3 linked regions of the Caenorhabditis elegans genome follow. The gene in region 1 interacts genetically with each later gene. Each region holds a gene or a part of one and is shown in the gene's direction. Other genes may lie near its edges.

Region 1 (5,000 bases):
GTAGTCGTCAAAGCAGTCGGCGGCGTTCTATTTTTTTTTTGCTTGCTTGCTTTTGCTATGTCTCGTGTGTGCCCAATAACAACAACAACCACATATATAGCCGTCTTCTGGATATATATGTATGTGGGTGTGTGTGTGTTATGGCTTTTCTTCGAACTTTTTATTTCACTCGGAAACTTTCAAGATTTGTCTTTTCTGATGCTTTTTAGGATTCCAGGAATTTTATTCGTTCGAACTAGTAAGTATGAAGTTAGAGTTCACAGCAAATTTTCATCAAAATTCGGAAAAAAACTGGTTTTTATATCGTAGCCCTACAAAAATAGAGAAATAAAAAAATCGAAGGGTCAGATTCACCAGTGTTATTTTTCGATAATTTGTCAGAAAAATTTGGGAATTAGAAACTTTACGAAGTCTAGTGAGTTGCAAATTTTTAAGAATCAAATTTGCTAATTTTCCTTCTTATTTTCGGATCAAATTTTCATTTCATATGAAATATTTCATAAAAAACAAAAAATCAGATTTTGTAGATAGAGCCCACAATGTAAAGGAACTACAACATCTGTAGAACCGGATCTGTTAGATTTTTTCTTCGAGTTTTACAAAATTTCAGACTTCCCAAGTTTTTTGTTTGAGTTTTGGCTCAGAAATTTCGAACATAAAACTTGGAGAATCAGATTCCCGGCTTTTAGAGAAAGTTCCGATTAGGGGCACCACAAATTGAGAAAACAAACATTCTGGAGAATCAGAGTTTCGATTTTTTGTTGCCAAAAACGACATCCTTGCTCCAACTGTCAGCATGCCAAACAACAGACACCCCTGTTGAAAATTTTAAATTCCAAATGAAACGGGGATGGGGTACATCGTAGTAATAGTAGTAGTTGGTTCTTAGGGGAGCACATCTCTGCTTCTTCTTCTTCGCAGCTTTTCGGTCTTCTGCGTCCGTTTGAGTGGTCAGTCAGATGTATGAGAGTGCGTTCCGTATCTCTCTGCGTCTCCACACCCTTGACCACTCTCTACGCCGTCGTGCTCTCTGTGTCTCGCCCGACTATCTCGAATAGAAAGTGACCACTGCTACATAATATTCGAATTCGCGGGGGGGGGGGGGTCTGTCTACTGCTGCTGCTGCTGGGTGGCCGTTTTCCTTGCCACACACTCTCTCGTCTCTCTTGCTCTTTGTGCATCTCATAGTTTGCTACTCGCGATCAGCTGTAGTCAACGTTCTCATATATACAGTATGCTTTTTGTTGAAAGTTTTGCCATATTGCCACGGCAAATTTTTTGGTACTTTAGTGGTTTTTTATTTCAAATCACCACGAACTTTTATAATTTTCCTCGATATTTGCATTTCCTCATTTTTTGCCAATGAAATTGTAAATTTTTCGCATTATTCTGTATGCTAGCACTTGTTTTCCAGCTTTACTTTACTCCCTTGTCCTCTCCCCGCCCCCAAAAGTACCAGAATAAGGTGTTTCCAAATTAGTTGTCCTTATCTTTCGAGGAGCCTCGTTTTAGAAAATGTGTACTTTTCTGCTCAATTCCCGGACACTTTTTCCGGGAATTCAGAAAAAGTCTGAACCACTACTAATTCTAATGTGATATTCTGAAGTTAGTCTTCATAATGATATATGCTAGCAATTTATATAACTAATTTTTCACATGGCGCACACATATCCTCATATCAGAACATATCAGAAGTTCTTGTTATTTTCCCGTTCCCCAAAAGTAACAGAGTAATAAAAAATTTCGAAATCCCGAGGGACGGTCCTTGGGGAGGTCGGGGTCATCACCCTCAACGTACATGGTACCGGGGGCCTGGTGGCGACAGGTAGTGAGGTCTCTCTTCTCAGTCCTGTTAGCACACACACAGTGGAGGGGTGCGTGCGCGCTCGCTCACTCGCCTACAGATCCGAGATGAATCGTAGACGCGTATTGAGGAAGACGGTGTTGGGTGGTGATGGTGTCGTGGGGAAGGGGGAAGGATGCGTACTATCTCTATATTTCTCGAGAACAAGAAGAAGATGATGACGATTCACTTTCCTTCTACTCGTCTCAGAAAGACACGGAGGACGAATTCTGCGGGTGCCTTTTCCCCGAGTAAATTTTCACATGTTTACAAAAAATGTTCATTATGAGCCTCTGTATTGCTTAAATTTGTCAATCATAAAATATTTTAAATAGGCAGTTCTCCTGAAAATAATACATTGAAAAATTTCGTTATTAAACCATTTTTGGTTTTTTTGTTGGAAATTTTTTTGTTGGCTTGATAAATTTGGCACAATTTCGTTTTCCGAGAGGAGAACAACTTTTATTTCCTTCTTCATCTATTTCCTCCTTTTTTTCAGAATTCTCTAGAAAAAAAACAAAAAAAAAAGAAGGCGTCCTCTCTCGTCATGAATGAATAACACTAGTTCCGCCTCACTTTTTCATGTTCTTTTTTCTTCTTTCTTTTTTCTTTCTTTTTTTCAAGTCCAGAAATTCCAGGATCAAGCAGTTCATCCGGCTGTAGTTCGTCATCTACAGAGCTCTACGATCTTGCAGCTGCACACGCCGCACTTATATCCCGACAGCAACAGATTCTCAGTCAGGGTGTGTTTTTGTGGAAAAATTAAAACAAATTGAGTTTTACATGTCCGGAAATGTGTGTCTCGCCACGAACTTTGTGGAATTCGTTGGGAGACCCTATTGTTTTTTTTAATAAGCTAAGAAATTGAGATTTTCGCTCATTCATGTGAAAAAAATAACGCTCGCTAATCTTTGTATTAGAATTAGAGTTGATTTGCTTTTATAATCCAGTTCAATTTGTCTACAAATTTTCTTTTTAAACAATTAAACTAGTTTGGAAAATGGATAATTAATTTTTAAACCTAACCGTTGAATTATTGATCGAAAAATGAAAATTAATTAAAAGTACTGTAAACTTTAAAGGAGCATACCTTTAGTTTCGTACTGGGTTCCACCACGATTCGAGAAATCATACATTTTATAATATTTTCTCGATTTTCGTGCCTAAGATATCTTTTTTTAATATTTAATTGAAACAAATTTTTTATTTTAAAATGTTCATTCTAACCGAAATTTCCAAACCCCATTGTTTGCTCCCGAAACACGAATTTTCAAATAGTTCAGTACTGTAAGATTTAAAGGCGCCCAAACTGTCTCTTGCAGTAGGTCTCGTCACGATCGGAGAAATTCTAAAAAAGTTTTTGTTTTTTCGTTTCGAATTTTTGTTTTTCTGCTCAATTTCTTCGCTTTGTTAGCTAAAAAATGTGTAAAATTTATCATTAAAAAAAACAAAGTTTCAACAATTTTCAGTACCTCTTCATATAATTCACATGAAATTGTCTAATTTTTAGCCAATTTCAGAGGATTTTCCGAAAAACTCAATAATTAATCAAGAATTGTTTCAGCAATCCCAATAATACCGGAACACCAGCTGGCCGCCGTCGCCGCTCACCATCAACATCACCAGCAGCTTCACCCATCGGTACAGTACCAGCTCGTCGCTGCCGCCACCCATCACAATCATCATCAGCCGCAAGCGGCACAACCACACTATTCAGCAGTTGTGCCACGATCTGACGGTTTGTTAAATAATGTTTTAAACGTTGAAAATTGTTTTTTTTTTCAATAAAAAAGTAATGTTTTTTTTAATTTTTCAGTAATACAACAACCACCACACTTTGCTCTGCACCACCATCTTCAGAATTTGGTTCAACAGCAGCAGCAACAGCAGGCTCACCATCATCATCAGCAATTAGTTGGTGAGTCGACCGATTTTTTTTCACGAAAACAAAAAATTAAAAAATAATTACCGAAAATCCGGAAAAAAACATTAAAAAATGAACGGAACAATTTCCCTTTTTTTAAAAGTTAACTTATGAAATTTTTGAAAGATAAAAAAAAATATTGGGAAAAATTTTCAAGCCTCAAAAATCTGGTTTTTAAAACTAAAAACTAATTTTAACAATAGTTTCAAATTTTTCTGTAAAAACCAAAATTCCCAACAAAATTTTTTTGAATCATGATATTTGTAAAAATCTATTTTCTTGATTTGTTAACAAACTTTCGAACCATTTCCCTTTTTGTTTACTTTTTAATATCTCAAAGTTCACGTGTAGTTCTGTTAGCCGGTCTTTACAAATTTAATCAGTTGCTGCCTGTCAAAGTGCACAAGTCCTTCTACTACTTTATTTTCCATCTCCTCTACCGTAATGTCCTTGTCTCCCCTGAATGACCTACAAAGAACACACTCCGCTCTTTCTAGAAAAGACTGCTTTCTCTGTTAAAGCACATGTTTTTTGTTGTTGTTACTCTCCGTCATCAGCTTCGGGGTGTTTTTTTTATTCTGGAATTCTTAGAATTTTCTCAGTTCACCGTGACTCACTTCTCAGAACTACTACGATTTTCTAACAGAAATCTGAAAGACATTTATTGCGAAATATGATGACTAAAAAAGAGATCAAGTTCGGCTTTTTTGAGCCATTTTTTCCGAATAAACCCGTTTTTTTTAATGTTCTGAATTTTCTATCATTTCCAAAAAAAAATATTGTGAAAAAAATTTTTATGATGCTCTTACTCTTTGCCATTTAAATTGGAACACTAATTGTCAATTTTTCAGACATTTTTCCGCGTAGAAATAAAAATTGGCCTATAAATTGTTCGTTTAACAATTAATTACTTGATAGAAAAACGATTCTTCCTTTTAATTTTTTTTTGAATAACGGAAAATTATATATAAAAAATGCCTATTTTCTTTTCTGAAATTTAGTATGAAAACCAGTTAAACACTACTTAGTTAATCTTTATTCGATATATCTTTATCAATCTGAAATTCACTAACGATTCATTTATGACGCTCAAACATGTGAACTCCGTTGATCACATACACACAAATTCACGTTATGACGAACATAACACTAGATATGTCGAAAAACGCATATACACAGATTATATTGCTAGTGACGCAATTTTTGAGTGAAATGGAAAAAAGGGAGATAATG
Region 2 (4,533 bases), on another chromosome or scaffold:
AGACTTTGTAGTTTGTAGTCTAGCAGACCAAAATTTATTAAAAACTGCAGAAAATTGATGGGTCTGCTAATTAAGAGTTTGTAGTTTGTAGTCTAGCAGACCAAAATTTATTAAAAACTGCAGAAAATTGATAGGTCTGCTAAATTTGATTTTGTAGTTTGTAGTGTAGCAGACCAAAATTTATTAAAAACTGCAGAAAATTGATGGGTCTGCTAATTAAGAGTTTGTAGTTTGTAGTCTAGCAGACCAAAATTTATTAAAAACTGCAGAAAATTGATAGGTCTGCTAAATTTGATTTTGTAGTTTGTAGTGTAGCAGACCCAAATTTTTTATTGAAATTGGCAAAATTGCTGAGTCTGCTAAATAAAATTGAGTTTTTTGTAGTACTTTTTAAATGCAAACGCCAAAAATAAAGCCTAATAATAAAAATCCGCATTTCTTTTCAGATCTCCGTGTCGACTATCGCCTCAACTCAGAATCTTCCATCTCGGCGCCACTTCTCAACGTGAATTTCAGCACAAATTTGACGGGAAGCGTGGATTCTGTGATGTGTGAGCCAGAAGCCAAATGGGTGGCTGGAAATCCGTCACTCGGCTGGAATTTGCTGGAAATTTCAAGAAATGGAGATGTGCACGGATCGCTGAAAGCAAGGATATTTATGAAGAATTCTGGGGTCGGGCTTTTTAATTGCTTTAAAATAAAAAATATATAATTTTCCAGGACGAAGTAAGCTTGGAAATGCTCGATCGGAAGCCGGCGCAGGTCTTCGTGCAATTTCAGGTACTAAAAACTGAAATTTAAGCTCTTAATTTATCTTTTTCAGTGCCTGGAAGCCAATCTATCTGGAGTGGACATTTCCCTAGTGCAATCGGATATTTATCACCTGTCTATGATTCGTAAAAAGGTGCTCGCTGGTAAATATTTTTGTGATCCCGAGCTGCGGAAATAGAGAAGATGAAGAGCTTTTTAATTTGATTTTTGTTTTAATTTTTCTGTGTAAATATAGCATAATTCTCGCGAAATCTGTGATTTTAACAAACTTTCAACTTCTAGTTTTCCAATTTTTCACCACCAAACGAGTTTTTCCACTATTATTCGTTATCCCCCGCTGTAATAAATACTTTTTCCCGGCATTTTTACTTTTTTTACACACATTTTGGGCTGGAAATGTCATAAATTTCTTTTCAAATACTTTAAGACAACAAAAACAATTGGAAAACAAGTTTTCCCCCAACCAAAAATTGATTGAAAATGGCCGAGGACTAGTTTTCGATTTCAAACTGCCGCCCATTTCGGCGGTCGCATTTGGCTGCGTAGCGGCTCGCAAACGCCAGTTTACACTATTGTGATACGCAGCCAAACCTTCACCTGTCCGATTTGAACAGTTTTTCCGATTTTTTTTGACCGTTTTCGCCGGTTTTTTGTAATTTTTTGGGTTGCTAGCAGTAAATCACCGATTTTTGATCAAAATTGCACTGAAAAATGTTTATTTTATTCCGAAATAGTGGATTTTGAGCAATTGTTGATTTTCTGACTTTTGATTCGATTTCTTTCTGGAACATTCAAAAATTCCCTTAAGAAAATGCAATTTGCTTTTTTTATTTTTTGATTTTAGTTGTGAAAAGTGCTTAACTGATTTAAAATATCGCAACGGTGTCTGGCTAATTATACTCTTTTCTTAAATATCGATTTTTGTTTGAAAATTTGAAATCTAAACTAACGTTCTTGCAGGTATCCCCATATTATGGGTTATTGATTAACTTGGCATTGAAATTATTGAATTGAACAGAAGCTTCCTGCACTTGGAATCTTATCTTCATCGAATCAACACAAACAGCAAAAATGAGCACTGAATACGGTTGCCAGGTCACCAACAAGTTCGGTCTTCCATCCGACGACGACGATGGTGAGTGGTTGATGATGATGATCGCCGGATGATTATCTTATCTTCCCGATGGGATATTGCGCAATATTCATATGCGATATACTCCGCCCAGAAGACATTATAAAAAATCGATAATTTGCAGAGTATGACGACCCAAGAGAGCTCATCCAAAAGGTGTCTCAAATCGCCGCCAAGAAGAAGGAGGAAAAGTCTGTGAAGCCCGCCCAGCCGGTCAAGCCAGCCGCTGCTCCAGTTGGTAAGAATTGGCATTCCTATTCTTAAATTAATTAAACATTATTTCAGCCGCCACCAAAACCGACGGTGCTGCTGGACGTGGACGCGGAGGACGTGGTCGCGGACGCGGGGGAGCCGGCCGTCCACGTGACGGAGAACGTGTCTCCAACGAGAACGGTGATCGTCCACAAGGCGAGAACCGTCGTGGAGGACCCCGCAGAGGCGGTGAGCGCGGTGCTGCTCGTCCAGCTGGGTAAGAAACGCTTAAATTTTTAATTTTTTTTTTCATTTTACTGAACTTTGTATTTTAGACGTGGAGGCCGCGGAGGATTCACTCGCGAGAACAGAGAAGGAGAGGAGCCAAAGCAAGAGGTCTCTTTCGAAGACGGACAAGATACCCGTGCCCCAAGACGTCGTGGAGGATTCACCCTTGGAGGTGGACCATCTGGCGGACGTGGAGGAGGCCGTGGTGGACGTGGGCGTCAATTCGATCGTCAATCCGGATCCGACCGTACCGGAGTTCGCTCATTCGACAAGAAGGACGGACACGGAAAGGGCAACTGGGGAGACCAGAAGGACGAGTTGGCTGGAGAAACCGAGAACATTGCTCCAGAGGGCGCTGAGAGCACCGAGCCAGAGGTTCCACGTGAGAAGACCGCTGAGGAGCTCGCCTACGAGGCTGAGTTGGCTGTTCTTGCCAAGCAAAAGACTCTTAAGGAGTTCAAGGCTGCGGCTAAGGTGAGTCGTATAAAATATTAGTTTTGGAATTTATTTTTTTTTTTGTTTCAGGCTGACGCTCCAAAGTTCAACACCAGAAAGGCCGGAGAGGGAGCCGCCGATACTTTTGGCAAGCTCGTTCCAATCAAGAAGGAGGTCATCCCAGATCGTGAGGAAGACGAGGTCGTCGTAATCCACAAGGCTCCAAGAAAGCAAGTGCTCGACATTTCGATCACTTTCCGCAACGATCGTCCAGAACGCGAGCGCAACGACCGTTCTGAGAGGCCGCAACGTGGAGGACCAAGAGGAGGTGGACGCGGTGGAGGCCGTGGAGGACAACGTCAAGGAGGTCATGGAGGACGCAACAACACTCCATTCAACGCTTCTGACGATGCTTTCCCAGCTCTCGGTGCCAAGTAATTCCCCCCCCCCCACTCAACGACCTTCAGCCAACCAACCAATTCGCCCGCCCTCATTCAAATGCTCTGTTCTTCTCTCCATCTTGTTTTCTTCAAAATTCTCCTCTTTTCAATATCTTTGCCTGTGCCCATCTACCCCACAAATTGTTCGTTTCCAAAATGCCTGTTTCTTATTTTTCTTTTTTTTCTAGTTCCCCCATTTAGCTTGTTGTTGTTATCACCTGCCTTATCGATCTCTCTTCTGATGAGTTGCCCTCGATTTGGTTTGCTTGTTATCTCCCGTTTTTTCTTTAATTTTTAAGCCCTTTGAATCCCTTGATCTTCCACATACACCCACCAAGACGACCTCTTCTTTACCAAATATTTGACACAACAAAAGGTCTCAATTGTGTCAAGGATCAACGAACTAGTACTAGGAAACTCAATTTGTGCCCCTTCCAACCACCACCCCATTGCGCCCAGGTTTCGTTTTAATTGGAGTTTGTTGTTAACAAGATTTGATAAAGCATCATTTTTGTGTTAAACACCCCAATCATTCTATATCACACACACACACAAACACCCATTTTTCTTCTTTTTGCCTCCACACACCCCCCCCCCCCCCCCCCACCCAACTGTATCCGTATTTTGTAATAAAACGGTCTAAACCAACCACAGGGGCGTGGCCTGACACATGCCATTTCTAGGCCGCGAGCCGAGTGCTCTGATTCTCTGCCGCCTCTTTTAGAGAGCCGCGACGTCTTCTTCAGCGGGAGAGAGGGAGCACCCCCCCCCCTCCCCATTGCTCGGCAAAAACTTTTGCTCTCCTTTCACTTCTTATTGATTTCCCTTCTGTTAGCCGCCTAAATTAGAATTTTTAATTCTTCAGATTCTCAATAGAGCGAGCTTGCGTTCGAAATAATTTAATTTTTAATTAAATCTTCCTGCGACTCTTCTCTCTTTGGAAATTGCTATTTCGCAAGTTTAGTAACGATTTTATGACAGCAGCGGCGTCCGAATTTGAAATTGAATTAGGTCCCCTGAGAAGCTTTTTAGACTATAAACTACAATTCTGAAATGGCAGACCAATGAGAATTTGGTCTGCTAGACTACAAACTAGAGTCTGTGTTTAGCAGACCCATGAGCTTTTGAAGAGTTTTGGTCTGCTAGGCTACAAACTACAAGTCGTATTTAGCAGACCCAAATTATTAGAGTTTCGTATGGGTCTGCTGGACTACAAACTACAATTATTTAACAGACCAATCTTAAATTAAAAATTGACTGAATTTAGGGATTTTT
Region 3 (3,751 bases), on another chromosome or scaffold:
TGCCCAGGTTATAAACATTTCGATAAGTTTGGATGCTTGGGATGCATCAATGATTTTCATTGGGCCAAGCAATCGGAAGTAACTCAAAAGAGCCAATCGACTTTTTCCTAACATGTAGTTGACACGAGGACGATAGTATGCTTCATCCAGACTTTTCGAGATAGGAAGACAAATATGCATAATTGGAATCAGTTGACGGCGGCAGGTCTCTACGTTTTCCAGATCGAGTTTCGCAATGGCATCATCTCGAGTAATGATATCGAACACACTGAAAATTTATTTTTTAGTTTGTTGATTTGGGTTCATTTTACCTAATAAATTTATGATTCTTCAGACGAGAAATTATTTGGTAAGCAGCAAGACGAACTCGTTCAGATTTATCCTGTAGTGCTGGATCAACGGCACATTTCAATCCATATTCGAATGCTGTGAGACATGCCGGAACAAATGCCATTTCATTAAGACCTTCAAAAACGGCGACGCGGACGCTGACAACAGTGTCTTTCGCGACTGTATCAATGATGTATCCCATGAGTTCCTTCACGATATTTTTTGGAATAAGAAGCCAGAATTCGCTGATTGCCTTCAAGACATGTTTCGTGGCTTCGCTTCGAATGGAAATAACATCACTACGTAATAAGTCCATCATATATCGATGTTGGTTTTCCATTATCCTATCCATGTCTTCAGTATCCTCGCCAATTAGTGGGTAAAAATTGAAAAATACTTCTGCAGCTGATGACTGTACAATGTAATTTGGAGCGTCCAGCGCTCGGTAAAGACATCCATTGAGAAGCCTTGTCACCATTTCATCTACACTTTTGTCCAGTTTTTTCGCGTGTGCAAATGCGGCAATCACATTTTGAAATTTAGTGCAGGTAGGCCTGTGAGCATATAATGCATGCTGACACATGACACTGATCACATCGGTCTCCAATTCCTCTGTCAAATCAAAGTTAGCCTCCTGATATGCATTTCTCCAAGCTGTGACGAATACTTCACCATACCTTTGACATTCAGTGCTGCAAAAATATATATAAATGGAATTCTTCAGCGTATAAACTTTACTCGGTGAGATTGAACTTTAGTATTAACTTCTCGAGTAGTATCAGTCCATTTCCAACACCAATTTTTGGGAGAATTTCAGCTGATAATTTTATACCTTCCGGACAAATCAACAAGGCTGGTGCGAAGAAAATACACCGAAGAGTCGATGGATTTGCATTGGCAATAATATCTTCTTGAACTGCCCACAATTTTCTGATGAATGTTTTCTGAAGAGCCCGACCTCCTTTTCCACGGAACTCTGTGAGTAACTCATTCCAGTCTTCTGATGGTTGTTTGTTAGGTGTTACCGGATTGCTCTTCGGCATTGATCTCTTTACTGAAAATTTCTATGGAATTATAGAATTTATTTCAACAAAAAAATAGCAAAAAATAATAGTATTAAAGTTTTCACCTAAAAATAATTATAAATAATCAATAAAATAATTCAATAATATAATTTACCTCGCAATTAAAAAAAAAGAAACACATTTTCCTTGTTATGTTCAAAACGAATTCTTTCGCGCGGCCGTCTTTCTCATTGGGGCGCACTTGCCTTTTCATTTTTTAATGCAAAAAATGCCCAGAAAATTGCATAATTTGCTTTATTCTCTTAAAATAATTATCAATATTGACTGAAAACTAAAGTTTCCAATTTTAGAAATGTTTGCTAGAGCTCCATTTGTACGTCTACTATCAACGACTAGTCGAAACTTGGCTGAGGCCGAAAAGAAAGTCTCTAAAGAGGTATTAAAATCTAGGAACCCTAATTAATTTTAAAAAATAAAAAATAATTGTTTTTCAGGCTCTAATGGCTCTTCGAAAAAAGACTGGTTATAGTTATGTGAATTGTCGTAAAGCACTTATTCAGTTTGGCGAAAATGATATGGATAGTGCTGTAAAATGGTTGAAAGAAGCTGCAGCGAAGGAAGGATGGGCCAAAGCGGCAAAGTAAGTGTTTATTTTGAAATTTTTTTAATTTGGAATGTTGACTTCACAAGGAATTATTTTAATAGTTATAGAATATTCCAGACTTGGAACTCGTGTAACATCGAATGGTCTTGTATCTGTAGTCACGGACAACTCAACAGCAGCTGTGGTAGAACTCAGTTGTGAAACTGATTTTGTGGCGCGATCTGGAGCTTTCAAGGATTTGTTGTCAAACATCTCCAACTCTGTTCTCGCAAAAGCTAAGCCACAATCTATATCGAGCGGCTCAAAACTTCAAGAATTCACCTATGATCTTGGGGATCTGACCGATTCCGACGGAAAAAATATGCGTGAAGTGCTCTCCCTTTCAATCGGAAAGCTTGGTGAGAACATGACAGTGAGAAGAGTTAAGGCTTTTAAAGCTCCCGAAGGAACAACTTTGTTTGGAGCTTCACATCCTAAAGATGGAACTGATGATATCCCGATGGGACGGTTCATTTCACTCATCGCTCTAAATCAATCGAGTCCAGGTGAAACAAAGAAATAAAGTAAAAAATTAAGTCTTAACATTTACAGGGTCAATCAGTAGTCAGCAACTTGCCGGACAGATATGCCAGCACATTATCGGAATGTCCCCGGAATCCCTCGGCGAAGCTGCAGAATCTGTGAAAACTCAAGAAGGGCTTCGTAGTCAAGAAGGGCATGATCCAAATGCTGATCCAGTTGTTGTAACTAATATTGATGAATCGGAAACTGCTCTTCTCCGCCAAGCCTTCATGTTGAATCCATCTCAATCTGTTCATGAGTACCTAAAATCCCACAATGCTAACATTCTCGATTTTGTTCGTGTAGAGCTTGGAAGCGAATAATTAGATAAAAGTGGTAGTAACTTTATTTTCATGCCTTATTAGTTTTTAGAATGCTTTTGTTTCTCTGTTTTGTTAATCGATAAATAAATTTATCGACATATAAATTGAATTTAAAGTTTAAAAAATAAACATTTGCAATTTTCAGAACATTCCTCCGTGGAAAACAATTGAACAAGAAGACGATTAAAATGCATTTATTTTATTTCAGAAATTCATGGTCACTCGGATTTCTGTCGAAATCAAATGTATTTTAAGGTCACAATCCGCGAAAATTTAAAACAATTGTTGTAATATAGTAAAAATACGAGAAAACTGCTGAGAACACTCAGAAAACATATATATTTTTGGGGTACTGTATTGGTACTGTAGGAGTAATTGGTGATGTAGGTGTACTGTAGTATCACTGAGCTCTTTGTTGAAACATGCGATATTGTTCTAAATTGTATCGTTCTTAGATTTGGCAATTTATCAAGACAATCTGAAACAAATATTGTTGCTGAGTCTGTTACTCTTGTTCCAAAACTGAAGGGACTATCTTGGTCATTATCATCAAGTTAGACGGTTTCAGTTCCATTGACATGGCAAAAAATACGAAAGATCACCGAACATTCCTCATAGTTTTATATTCCAGATGTTCCCATTTCTCAAGTTCTCATACCACATTCCAAAGGAACACAACTCAACAAACCCCAATCTTTCTTCTTCGGTTTTCTTCTCAAGCTTCCTCATTTCTCATCGTCATTTTTCCTTTTCATCATCAAATGTGTATCAAGACGTGACGCCTATGTGCTCTCTTTGAGAGAGCACCGCTGTTGTAAAGGTAGAAGTAAAAGAATACACAAAGAGAATATCATGCGTTTTGCGTTTTCTGCTGTTTTTTTTTCGCCCGTGTCTTTCTCTCCTGCTCC

Evidence for each region. Genes that interact genetically often act in the same process or in processes that back each other up.
Region 2: of lit-1 (region 1) and vig-1, a change in one rescues a mutant of the other (synthetic rescue), as found in Caenorhabditis elegans (one study listed by BioGRID).
Region 3: of lit-1 (region 1) and tsfm-1, a change in one rescues a mutant of the other (synthetic rescue), as found in Caenorhabditis elegans (one study listed by BioGRID).

The regions. Positions count from the first base shown.
Region 1 is NC_003281.10:13,712,091-13,717,090, forward strand, and holds the start of lit-1 (Serine/threonine kinase NLK), read left to right. Parts: upstream 1-1,954; coding exon 1,955-2,094; intron 2,095-2,467; coding exon 2,468-2,586; intron 2,587-3,407; coding exon 3,408-3,581; intron 3,582-3,659; coding exon 3,660-3,761; intron 3,762-5,000. UniProt on the Caenorhabditis elegans protein: Has a role in the Wnt signaling pathway controlling the asymmetry of cell divisions during embryogenesis. Operates in the AB and EMS cell lineages influencing cell specification.
Region 2 is NC_003280.10:1,319,306-1,323,838, forward strand, and holds vig-1 (Hyaluronan/mRNA-binding protein domain-containing protein), read left to right. Parts: upstream 1-1,731; 5' UTR 1,732-1,842; coding exon 1,843-1,906; intron 1,907-2,027; coding exon 2,028-2,141; intron 2,142-2,188; coding exon 2,189-2,372; intron 2,373-2,430; coding exon 2,431-2,857; intron 2,858-2,908; coding exon 2,909-3,256; 3' UTR 3,257-3,768; downstream 3,769-4,533. Other genes in the region: fcho-1 (FCH domain only protein 2), read left to right, coding at 447-673, 721-780, 824-949.
Region 3 is NC_003283.11:12,269,506-12,273,256, reverse strand, and holds tsfm-1 (Elongation factor Ts, mitochondrial), read left to right. Parts: upstream 1-1,705; 5' UTR 1,706-1,707; coding exon 1,708-1,791; intron 1,792-1,849; coding exon 1,850-1,995; intron 1,996-2,076; coding exon 2,077-2,504; intron 2,505-2,550; coding exon 2,551-2,843; 3' UTR 2,844-2,986; downstream 2,987-3,751. Other genes in the region: capg-2 (CAP-G condensin subunit), read right to left, coding at 1-268, 312-1,022, 1,069-1,373. UniProt on the Caenorhabditis elegans protein: Associates with the EF-Tu.GDP complex and induces the exchange of GDP to GTP. It remains bound to the aminoacyl-tRNA.EF-Tu.GTP complex up to the GTP hydrolysis stage on the ribosome.